Linked DNA regions of Coturnix japonica. The protein of the gene in region 1 purifies or fractionates together with the protein of each later gene. This does not show direct contact. Links are inferred from orthologs where the notes say so. Each region holds a gene or a part of one and is shown on either strand. Other genes may lie near its edges. The genes, in order: RETREG1, GABARAPL1 and MAP1LC3A.

The links.
Region 2: the proteins of RETREG1 (region 1) and GABARAPL1 purify together in Homo sapiens (affinity purification with western blotting; 3 studies listed by BioGRID and IntAct, with this or other methods). This does not show direct contact. The link is inferred for Coturnix japonica from reciprocal best matches to the Homo sapiens genes RETREG1 and GABARAPL1.
Region 3: the proteins of RETREG1 (region 1) and MAP1LC3A purify together in Homo sapiens (affinity purification with western blotting; 3 studies listed by BioGRID and IntAct, with this or other methods). This does not show direct contact. The link is inferred for Coturnix japonica from reciprocal best matches to the Homo sapiens genes RETREG1 and MAP1LC3A.

The regions. Positions count from the first base shown.
Region 1 is NC_029517.1:54,602,972-54,606,262, reverse strand, and holds the end of RETREG1 (reticulophagy regulator 1), read left to right. Parts: intron 1-502; coding exon 503-1,014; 3' UTR 1,015-2,772; downstream 2,773-3,291. UniProt on the Homo sapiens protein: Endoplasmic reticulum (ER)-anchored autophagy regulator which mediates ER delivery into lysosomes through sequestration into autophagosomes.
Region 2 is NC_029516.1:70,390,253-70,394,495, forward strand, and holds the start of GABARAPL1 (gamma-aminobutyric acid receptor-associated protein-like 1), read right to left. Parts: upstream 2,841-4,243; 5' UTR 2,702-2,840; coding exon 2,612-2,701; intron 1-2,611. UniProt on the Homo sapiens protein: Ubiquitin-like modifier that increases cell-surface expression of kappa-type opioid receptor through facilitating anterograde intracellular trafficking of the receptor. Involved in formation of autophagosomal vacuoles.
Region 3 is NC_029535.1:1,283,199-1,287,499, reverse strand, and holds the start of MAP1LC3A (microtubule-associated proteins 1A/1B light chain 3A), read left to right. Parts: upstream 1-1,450; 5' UTR 1,451-1,538; coding exon 1,539-1,578; intron 1,579-4,301. UniProt on the Homo sapiens protein: Ubiquitin-like modifier involved in formation of autophagosomal vacuoles (autophagosomes). While LC3s are involved in elongation of the phagophore membrane, the GABARAP/GATE-16 subfamily is essential for a later stage in autophagosome maturation.

The DNA.
Region 1 (3,291 bases):
GCTGTGATGAAGATTTGCATAGGTTGTTTCATATGCAGCTAGATACCGCTTTAAAAAGGAATATTCTTCAAATAATATTGAAAGGAGTTGTTCTCAAGCAGTTTTCCAAATCTCCACATAAATATTGCAAAATGACCTTAGGCAGAAAAATTTAATGTTGTGGGCTCACTGAAATGGAAAATGCAATATAGTTGAGTGCTTGGTTTATTTTTTTTTGTTCCTTTGTTTTACATTTCAATCATTTTTAATGGGATTGGAATGATTTCCTCACACGGTACAAGCTCAAATTCGAAGTCGGGTTGATATCAGGTGATGCAAAGTACTAGGTTTTTATTCTGTTTTAGATATAAGATAACACTCTTCTGTGTTAAGAGTACAGAAGATGATGAAATAATAAGTGTATTCAAAGGAAAATTGATGAGTTTCATTTTTACCTGTGGCTGCTTTTGGGGGGAAGCCTTTCTTGTTCGCTAACAGTTTCCCTTTGTTAATCTTATGATAGATTTTGACCGACCTAGTGATCACGAAGAAGCTTTCGCTAGAGAGCTCTCAGAATTCCCTTCTTTAGAAAATGGGGCAGGAACAAATGACGATGATGACTCAAGCATCGGTATGCCCATCCAGCAAAACAGAATAAAAGAACAAATGTCTTCAAAGGCGGAGCATTCTTCCAGACCGAGTAAAGAGAGACCATCCACTGCAGGGCTCTCCTTGCCTTTGACCAGTGACCAAACCTTTAATTTAATGAGCGGTATTGCTGGGGATGTCATCGCCGCCGCGGTGTCAGCTGCCATCAAAGACCAGCTGCAGTCTGTGCAGCCAGCTCCATCACACGCGGTGCCCAGCTTGAGTGAGGAGACAGACACCGAGGAAGCCGATGATTTTGAACTGCTTGACCAGTCTGAGCTTGAGCAGATTGAGAAAGAACTGGGACTTTCACAAGGCCAAGAAGCAGAATCCCAGGAAAAAAAGAAGTCTTCGGGCTTTCTTTCACATCTGCTTGGAAATCATTAACCTGGGAATTGCAGCTGGTGACATAAAGGAAATGAAACATAAAACACACAAAATCAAATGCAAAAAAAAAAAAAAAAAAAAAAAAAAGGAAAATTCTGAGCTGTAAGCTTTAACTATCACTTTAGATGTGTTGTAATAATTTCCCTTATGCAGAGTGAATTAACTGGATAAATATCAGCTGATACTGATAGTTAACGTTTCTGGTAGTTATACCTCAATGTAATAGCATGGAAATGAATTATCTATCCACCGTTCGGTCGCAGATGTGGGCTGGAGGTCAGTTGTTCAAAAGGATTGGGGGAGAGGTTTGTTTTATCTTATGCCAAACATGCACTTTGTGGTCCTGAGCCAAATTTTCAACATTGGTGATTGATTTACTCATAGTTGCCAACCATGCAATACAATTAATGGTTAACACAGCAAGGATGAGTTATCAGAGGATCGCAGCGAGAGTAACTAAATCTCACCTCCTTCAATCATGCCAGGAAGTATGACTCTCTGCAGTTACCGTTATGTATAGTGCATCTCCTACTTAAGAATGCATTAACCAGCGGAAGCCTAGTTTAAATGTGTGCACAGCACTATTGGAGAACTTGATTTAACACTTAAAAATCTTTGAGTTGTATTGGATATGGTGATGCATTTCCACGTTCTTTGCTGTTTTAGGCTTGTAGAGTTGTGAAGTGGCATGCTATGTGACTGACCACCTGCTGTGTTCCTTCAGAGTCTGGTCCTTGGCACTATTGCCTGTGTAAAGTCAGCCAGCACATTTTTATAGATGAGTTACTGTGTAATCTGAACAGCCTTTTGGGGAGCAGGTGGGATAGTTATTGTTCGGACTAGGGATGATATAAAAGCTAGAGGTAAAACGAAGGGCTTTTCTAGCTGCCACTTGCATAATTCCAAATGTTGGGGGGTCTGTTTCTGTTTTGTTTGTTTGTTTTGTTTTGTTTTTCCCCATAACAACTGCCATCACCGTCAAAGAAAGTTGTACAAGCTGGATCTTGTGAGATACTTAAAGTACTCAGTGATTTGCTATGGAAGACACTCAGAGTCTTTTTCCTGGCGTGTAATTGAAAACAAACAATCAAACAAAAATGAACTTGTTTCAGTGACTGACCATTTTAAACTCCACACGTGCACAGTGAATGGCATGGGATCTTAAGCAGGTTACTCGTTTAACTTTTCCTAGGGCTTCTTTGTTCACCTTTAACAAAATCAATACCACGCAATAGTAATCAAAGAAATAGAAAGAAGTAAAGCTAGTTTTTCTACTGTGACATAAACTGTTAGCAAAGTGGAGGGACCATGTCAGCTGCTACTACTACTACTGAAGTGATTTTCCATTTGCTGGCATTTTAAGAGGTGAATACTGTCATCTAGGACCCTCAGAAAGTTCAGCAACAGAGTATAACAATTCCCACTAACGTGTATGTGTAGGTAAACCTGTGTTTGAAGTTAACTCCATTCTAATTACTTTGTTCTTTTCCTGAGGTGAAAAGGTAGGCAGAAGGCCAGATGCATTGAAGCTAAAGGACAGATGCTGAGAAGTTTTGACACTGGCTTTATCGTCGCTTGTGCTTTTGTGTCAGTAATGCATATTGACTGTGTTTGCTGTCTTTTACCAGTAAAAAAAAAAAAGTGAGCCTGTGCCTTCATTATCAAATCCATTTCGAGTAAGTGGATGCTGGATATAGATCACCCAAGATGCTGCTTTTGAAATTATAGCATCTTACCATTAAAAGCAAGTTTCTGAAAGTTATTTGAAAAACATGGCCATGTCGCTTTCACACTGTTAAGTTTCCTTTTCAGCTTCCCCCAAGCCTGTCCTTCCCATTTGGAAAAATAGAAACAAAGGAAGCTTTGGCTGGGAAATCTTGAAGTTTAAAGGCCATTTATGTTTCTTAGACAAGAACGTTGTGTCCTTGCTCCTTGTGTAGGGCAGTAGATACAGTGAGAAGCCTACAGCTTCCAGATGCTGACCTTGCAGAGCTCCTAGACAAGGCGTGCTCTCTGAACAAGGGTGCTGGTGCCCAGGGAAAGGACAGGCTGCAGGATAGGGAGGGCTGGGGAGGCAGCAGTTCTTTGTGAGCTTGGCTGGAGTGGGTGGGTGAGAGTGGCCATCAGTGGTGGCATTGCAACAGCGTGCACTTTATTGTTGTTTTATGAAGAATACTTGTGGTCAAGAAAGTACCTAACACTGGGCAGTCTTCTAGGAGAATAAATTAGATCAAGGAGGATAATAAGGTTGGAGGAGTTTATTGGACGTTTTGTAAA
Region 2 (4,243 bases), on another chromosome or scaffold:
AAACCTTTCCAAAGCTTGGTGACACGTTTCCATGGAAATACTGTGTGCATGTGGAAAGAAAATGCAGCCACTGGTAGGTTTGTTTTTTTTCCTGGTATGTATTTTTGATCAAGTAGAGAGATATATTACATGATTCAATCTATGTGGCTTACTGTTCTTCAGAAACCATTTTGACCTTCCCTGAGACACTGTGAGACTAATTTCTAAGAATCATAGAATTGCTCAGGTTGGAAAAGACCCTGAAGATCATCACATCCAACCGCAGCCTAACCATAGTACCCTAACTCTAACAACCCTCTGCTAAATCATATCCCTGAGTACCACATCCAAACGGCTCTTAAACACATCCAGGGATGGCGATTCAACCACCTCCCTGGGAAGCCAAAATCAGCAGCTGTGTCAGCTGTGCAATAGTAAAGGCTGGACTGTTGTGCTTCGTGTTTCCTTCCTTCTTTGGAAGGAAAATGGTGTTGTCACATCAATGAAACAGTACACCAAAGGAAAAAGACATGATAAGCTTTGTGTATTAACTTGGCATGGCACTTTTTCCAACCAAACACTCCTCGTTCCAGATTCAAGTATCCACAAAGCATGTCACACAGTAGAGATGCTGGCTTGGATACCTGTATACTCTTCTCCATTTAGATGCCTCCAATGCAGCCAAAAGCCCTGAAAATTCTAGGTTTCTTCCTAAAACACAAACGTAGTTTGCTAGTTCAAGAACCTCAACTACTAGGCAACTGAGCTCTTTCACACTAAGTTTGTGTTAGGACATACATTTCCATACAAGATAAAATTGACAAGTGTTGTGAAGGAAAGGTAGTTGCACAACCTCACTACACAGCTTCAGACTGACCAGCAACAGTACTTTGCCTATTTTCTTACCCTGAAACGCTACATGGTAGCATCAAATAAACTGAAGTAGAAAAAAAGCCTTTAGTTTTTGCTTTCAATTTAGAAGATTGGTAAGCAGAACTGTCAGGTAGCAACAGTGACAGGACCAAGCTGACTCAAAAGGATGGCATGTAGCTTAGTCATTAGATAAAGGAAAAGAAGATAGGGGGTACCTTGATTTATGAGGACAAGGTGAGCTCTGAGGATTCTAAACCCCTAGAAAGGATTCAAATTAAATAATCAAGTTTGAGACAGATCTCCCTCTTGCAAAGAGGGAAAAATGGAGGTGTTTTCCTAGATAATCAACTGTAGTAAGTTTCCCTGATAACCCAGGCAAGGTATCTCTTCTAAAGGTTACTTTGCACAGAGAGACAAACTTACAAAGACAATCCAAAGGGCAGATATATTATCTTGATGTCTGTTGCTGCTGGGTGACTGTGGTAACAATGGACTGGGCCAGCATTATAATTTCAGCAAAATGCAGACATATCACAACAGTGAAGTGCCAGCAGCCAATGGGACATTGCTGTCAAGGATCCTACTGTCGTGAAGGGCAGTGACAGAAGTGATTAAATACGTCTGTTGCACTCTGTGCAGCTCTGACAACAAGCCTTCCCCAGCAATCCACACCAGGCCTCTCCAAGCAGTGTTTTCACTTCCCCTTAGCTGCAGCACAGCTCACTTAGTTTGATCCTGTTTTTGTCCATTACACTCTACTAAAGCCCCTCTGTCTTGGCATTTTTACTCCTTGCCAGACCAGGTCTGTTGCTGGGCTCTCCACATAGTTCTTCCAGTCACTTCTATCATGACCTGCTGCATTACCTGCCACTCTCCTGACCAGCTGAGCCTGCTGTGGCCGTCATCTCAAAAGACAGACCTGCATACACTGCATGCTCAATTACTCTCATCCTACAGGGAAAAGCTCAGGTGAAACAGTTCTTTTGCACACTGCACCTCTGGTCACCCCAATCTAGGACAGAACTCTCCAGTGTTACAAAACAAACAAAATAAACCCTAGTGTTACTATTTCTTTTTGCAATTATTGCCACAAATTATAAAGCCAGGAGTTTTCCACTGAGATTCCAGACAGTCCTAAGGACAAGAAAGGAAAGTTCAGCTCGAAAATGATCTTGTTTTCCAAATGATGCTTTTTGGGTGATTAAAGAGTAGGGAAGTAAGACTGGGAATTATTATTGAGCATCCATCTCTTTTTAACTCTCATGCAAAACACAAAGCTGAAAAGAACGGAGCTGGACTACACTGAAAAGCAAGCTCCAAAAAGAAAAAGGTATAAAATAAAAACAAAACATCTGATAACAGCGATTTAGGCCTTTTTTTTTTTCCTTACAGAGAACGCCTGTTTCACACATTCATTGTTCTCCTCCATTTTCCCAGAGCAAGTCGTAAGCTCCTTCCCCACCCTCCAGCCCCACACGCATAGGCTGCCATAATAAGATTAACAGCGTTCTTGCTGTCGAATTACTGCGGATGCCCGAAAAAGACCCCCACACCCACCCACGGACCTTGGCGTAGAACAACAAATACGGTGGCACTAAAGAGAAAGCAATCCGGAATTAATACCGACACGCCAAAGTCATCTTTCCCAATCCCGTTCCTTGCAAAAGAAGCAAAGCAGCAGACGGCAACGACAAGGACAGCAAAGAATGGCGACATTTGCACAGCCAGCCCGAGGGCAGCGCTCGTCCAGCACACTCACAGGGACTCTGTCGGGGTATTTCTTCCTGATTTTCTCCCCTTCTTTTTTCCTGTACTCGAACGGGTGGTCTTCCTTGTACTGGAACTTCATGATGCGACACAACCGAGCCGGCCACTACCGTCCCTCCGTCACCTATGACCGGGCACTCAGCAAACCCTACTACGCCCGCGCAGCGCACGCAAACCCAGCGCAGCGCAGCGCAGCCCCGCACTGTGCTGTTGCGGGACGTCACAGCGACATACCCTCCCCTTCCGGCACTGTCGGCATTGCAGCGGGGTGGGGGCACTGTCTCGTGTGTGTGTGTGTGGGGGGGGGATGTGCTGGGTCTTTGTGTTTACATTCGGTTACTGTGCTTTTCGGGTTACCTAATGGTAACAATTCTAAAAGAAAGATCAAAAAATCCACAAAAACACAGCCACCAAAATAATGTGCGTGACTCAGGGGTTACCCACGCACCACCGTCAGAGGTGTCCCCGTCCAATGAGTCTCTTCTGTACGTGGTTGTGATTGATATAGTGTGCGTGTAGTATTACGGACTGGAAAACGTGTTGTAAAGCTGTTCTGTTTTGACAAGAGACCCTCAGCAAAAGAAACGCAATAATGAAAGCTGAGACCTCCACATGAGGCCAAATTGTCTCCTTCTCTAGGTGTCAAGGATTTCCCCTCTATCCTTCTACAACCCAGTATATATTATTAAAAAGAAGTTAACACCCCGGTATATATCACTAAAAGACAGGTTGCCAAACTTATCTCTATCCAAGGATGAGCAGATGTCCAGAAATAATGGCCAAGTGCTGAGTGAGCAAATGTTACAATTTTAGTACCTATAAATTACTTACAATATGCGTTATCGAGCATGCATCAGTGAAGAAAGTTCATCTAGAGGACAAGTGAGGAAGACCACTGGATGAAGTAAAAGACTGTCAATTGGACTGCCATGATGCTAAAAGGACACTAGACAGTAGAAGAGACCATGGAATAGAAGACTGGAAATCTCATCCATCTCTACCTGTGTTAAGTGTGTGTAAGTTAGTTGTCTCAAGTATAATTGATGAGTATGTACTATCTGTGGAAATATAATGGATGGGGAATCATGTAATCTTGGAAGCACTTATGGTGGAAGACGAAAGATGGATGCTCCATTGCAATGCTCTGTAAGGGCATCGTGACAAAATAGTAAGTAATAAAAATAATATCAGGAGAACAGGATCAGGAAGAAGCCCTGGTCCTTTTCTAGAAATACTCATACACATCTTTTAGACTGCTCCAAGAAATTCGTACTTCAGACATTAATGGTTTCTTTATCCCTATATGCTTATACACATAAGTCTTGCCTGAAGGGAAGGAGTTATCCCAACACTGGGAAGGACCTACTGCAAATCCCCACAGCAGATTTAGGGTGCTAGTTTGTGCTCTCTGCCCTGGAGAGAGCTGTTTATCATATATTGCCCACCACCCACCTTTACACTCTATAGCCCACTGCTTCTTGAATTCAGAGGTAATGCTCTCTCCAAGCCGTGGTGACTGTGATCTCTCATCATGCATGAAGGAGAGATATGGAGGAAGTATATTCACTTAGAAGCAGATATGGTCTGACACTGGCAGGTGATCTTGCCCAGTGAAAACAAACGG
Region 3 (4,301 bases), on another chromosome or scaffold:
ACCCTGATGCATTAAGAGGCTGATGAGGGGGGTTTGAAGTATGGCTCAGGGCTGCAAGCAGCAGCACTTGTAGCCCAAGATCTCTTTGTCCAGCTGAGATAAGGCCGTGGCAGAGGAATGGAGGTGACAGCACTTAAGAGATCGCAAAAGATAGACTTGTGGAAACATCTGTTCATCTTCAGACACGTCTTTCAGCTGCTATGGGCAGCAGCTATTTGTCTGCCTGAGATGGCTGAGCAGCACTCCTTTCACACACAGGAGCTTTATTTACCTTGTCTTAAAGCTTTTGCTGTGCATTGCTATGTCTGTAGGGAATGAAAGCAAGGCCTACAGCAGGCCAAGCTGGCTGTGTGTTAGCAGAGTGCCCCGACCTGCACAGGCTGCATGCAGAGCTGTGGTGTGCGGGGGCTGCAGGGCACTGAGCTCTGACAGCACCAACACTGCAGGAGTCTGAGCGTCATCAGGTCTGTGTTGACAGTAATACACTACTTCAGCAGCACAACAGCATTCCTCGGGGAGGCTCCAAGCTGTCACAAACATGCAGGGTGCTCATTACCAGCAGTGCTCACCCTGCTGGAATGCTGGCATTGTAAAGCTGGCTGTTGATCGTGGGTTGCTATAGGGCTGCTTGCTGCTGCTGGGTTGGTCTGTCTACCTGTTCCTCGTCAAAAGTGGGTTAGTGCTTAACAACAGTAACAAATTCAGTGAGCCTGCAGTCTGCAATGTCAGTCCATCTGCCTTATCTCAGTCAGTACCGCAACTTCTTTCCCTTCTGCATTTTTGGATGGCCAGGACCCTTTTGATCATCAGAGCACTTTTAAAAGATGCAGTGGGAGCCTTTCTGTCCCTTTGAAGCAGGGATGTACTCAATGTCTGCCCACCATGGGGGGTTGTTTTGGAGCACAGCGCTCATTGCAGCGTGCCTTCACGGGGACATGCAGTGTGGCTCTCTGCAAAACACCGTCACCGTTTGCAGCTGGGTTTGATTCGTTCACGGCTCTAGAAATAGCCCGCTCTATTTGTAGCCGTGATTTGCTCTGCAAGGTATGCGGGCTGTGTGTGCAGCGGGGGGAGACGGGCTGCTCCGGGGCGTGCGGGGCAGTAAGAGGAGGGGACGGGGACTGAGTACATGGGCAGAGCGGGGGACGGGGGCGGCTTTAACTAGAACAGGGAAGATTCAGGTCGGATGAGCGGAGGGAATCCTACACCCGCAGGCGGTGCGGCCCCGGCCCTGGGCAGCCCGGGCTGGGGGAGCGGCTCAGGTGCGCACGGAGCAGCGCTCAGCGATGTGCTGCGGGAGGGGAAAGCGGCTCTTGGGGTGTGAGCGGGGCCCGAAAGGCCGCGATTGAAAACGGGATCGATGACTCGGCGCTCATCGCACCGGGCGGCACCGCCCCACGGACACGTCACGTGACACGTCACGGCCCTCCGCCCGCCCCGGTGACGTCACCGCCCGCTCCGCCGCAGCCGCCACACGGAGCCGCCGCCGGCACCTGCGACCCGGCCCGGCCGCCGCCGCCGCCGCCAACACCACCGCCATGCCCTCGGAACGGCCCTTCAAGCAGCGCCGCACCTTCGGTGAGCGGACGGCGGGGCGATGTGCGCGGGAGCTGCGTGCGCAGCGATCGGGGGGCGAGGATGGGGCCGCGCGGTGCCGCGGGGCGGGCGGTGCCCTCCGGCCGGGCTATACCGGGCTGTGCGGGGCTGTACGGGGCTGTGCGGGGCTGTACGGGGCTGTACGGAGCTGTACGGGGCTGTGCGGAGCTGTACGGAGCTGTACGGAGCTGTGCGGGGCTGTACGGAGCTGTACCGGGCTGTGCCGGGCTGTACGGGGCTGTACCGGGCTGTACCGGGCTGTACGGGGCTGTACCGGGCTGTACCGGGCTGTACGGGGCTGTACCGGGTTGTACCGGCGGCCCTCGGGCTCCTTGTCCTCCTCCCGCAGCCCGAACGCACCCGCGTAGCGCGGCGGTCCCCCCCCACCCCCCGTTTCTTATTGTGGCACCGCCCGGAGCCGCGACCCCTTCGCCCCGCTGTGGCGGCGGGCTGAGCCCCTTCGGCTGCGGGTGGGCGGCCGAACCTTCGCGCACCGCCCGGTGCCCCCGCCCGGCTGGGGGTCGCTGTGCCGAGGACCCCGCGCTCCGCACCCTGTGCTGCCGGGCCCGGCGGGTTCCGCGCTCGCGTGGAAACATCGTTGTGCTGAATGTGGGCGGTGGGCGATGTGACCGTACGGGGCGATGTGACCGTACGGGGCGATGTGACCGTACGGGTCGGTGTTACCGTACGGGGCAATGTTACCGTACGGGGCAGTGTTACCGTACGGGCAGTGTTACCGTACGGGGCAGTGTTACCGTACGGGTCAGTGTTACCGTACGGGTCAGTGTTACCGTACGGGGCAGTGTTACCGTACGGGGCAGTGTTACCGTACGGGGCAGTGTTACCGTACGGGGCAGTGTTACCGTACGGGCAGTGTTACCGTACGGGGCAGTGTTACCGCACGGGGCGATGTTACCGTACGGGTCAGTGTTACCGCACGGGGCGCCGCGTCGTGCCTTGCCCGGCAGAGCGGCAGCTGCTGCTCCCCCTGACCTTTGCCGGCCGAACCCCGCGGCCACACGGCGCTTGGCTGGAGTTTTCTATTAAAAGCAGCAGAATCCCGAGTGCCGCCCGTATCTCTGCCCGCTGCTCCGCCGTGGCAGCCGGCATCGCGGGCGGGAGGAGCCGGCTTTGCCTTTGCACGTTGCTCAGGCTGGAGGAAAACAAAAGTCGAGGCTCGGAGTGACCGAAGGAGAGCGGGACTGAAATAGCGCAGGAGGGAAAGGGGGGGAGACGGAGTCGGGTGCTGTGTGACCGCGGGTGTCTGCGCCGTCCTGTGCCCTTTGGCTCCCGGCTGATGTGCAGAGCTCAGCGGGACGAGGAGGAAGAGGAGGCGGCCCGGCGCCCGCTCGGCTGCTTTGGGTCGGGGCTGGGATCGCTCCGCTGGAGAAAGTAAACAGCGCTTGTTTTCGTCTTCAGCTCGTTGCACAACGGGAGCAGGAAGCGATTGTTGACAGTGCCGCTGGAGACGGACGATGGAAAATATTTCCAGTGACACTGCACCCTCAGAACGGCGCTGTTTGTAAGGCCGCAGAGCTGGAGAGAAGTGGAACGGCTCCAAAAGAACAGAACAGGCAGAGTCAGAGTGTGGCTGTTTACAAGAGCCGCCCAAGGCTCCGGTGTCACGGCACGTGGCTCGGTGAGGCCTTGGCCCGCTGCCCCGTGCTGACGCTCTGCTGTGCTTTGTGCCCATTTTCCCCCTTCTTGTAGTGTTGAGGTTTGTTTTTCTATGGGGTTTCTTCTGTTTGCCCATCTGCTTTGTCTCAGGTCTGTTCTGAATACATTTTATGGAGCTCAGTGTGATGCTGTTGAGGACTTAAGTCCAACGCTGGGGCATGCGGCGTCCCCCTGGTGTCTGATGCACATCAGAGGGGGCTCTGCTGGGGTTGTGCTCCCCGCTGTGGCTGTGGCTGTATCTTTGGGCTGGGGGTGAGATCTGATGGAGCCCCTCAGCTGCCACGTGCAAACCTGCCTGTGAATGCTGAGGGAGCTGCGTTCTGCTTAGTCAGATCCATGGTAGGAGTCCAGACCAATTCCCAGAGTGAAGCTGTGCTCTGTGTCAGAGGAGCAGGCTGTCCTGGCTGCAGCCATGTGTGCAACCTGCTGACCCTGCGCTGCTTCCTGTGAAAGGTGCATCTTTGGGCTGGATGCTCCCATCCCAGGTGCAGTTTTCTGTGCCTTCAGTTCTGGCAGTGCACTTCTCATGTGGAAAAGGCAGCAGTCGGTAAGAGCAGCACATAGAACTGAAGAGTGGCCTTCACCAGGTGGCAGCAGGGTGAGGAAGGGGATTGTCCCCCTGTGATCAGCTCCTGTGAGACCCCACCTTGGTTTTGCATCCAGCCCTGGGGCTGCTGGCACAGGAAGGACGTGGAGCTGCTGCAGGAGGTCCAGAGGAGGACACAAAGGTGCTCAGAGGGCTGGAGCATCTCTGCTATGGAGTCTGGCTGAGGGAGCTGGGAGTGTTCTGCCTGAAGGAGGGAAAGCTGCGGGGAGACCTCATTGCAGCCTTGCAATGTTTAAAGGGAGATTATAAACAGGAGGAAAATCAACTTTTTACACATGTAGATGGTGATAGAACGAGGGGAAACAGCTTTAAACTAGAGGGAAGATTCAGATTAGATGTCAAGGGGAAGATTTTCACTGAGAGGGCAGTGCAGCCCTGGCACTGCTGCTCAGAGCTGGGGGTTTTCTGTTCCTGGAGGTGC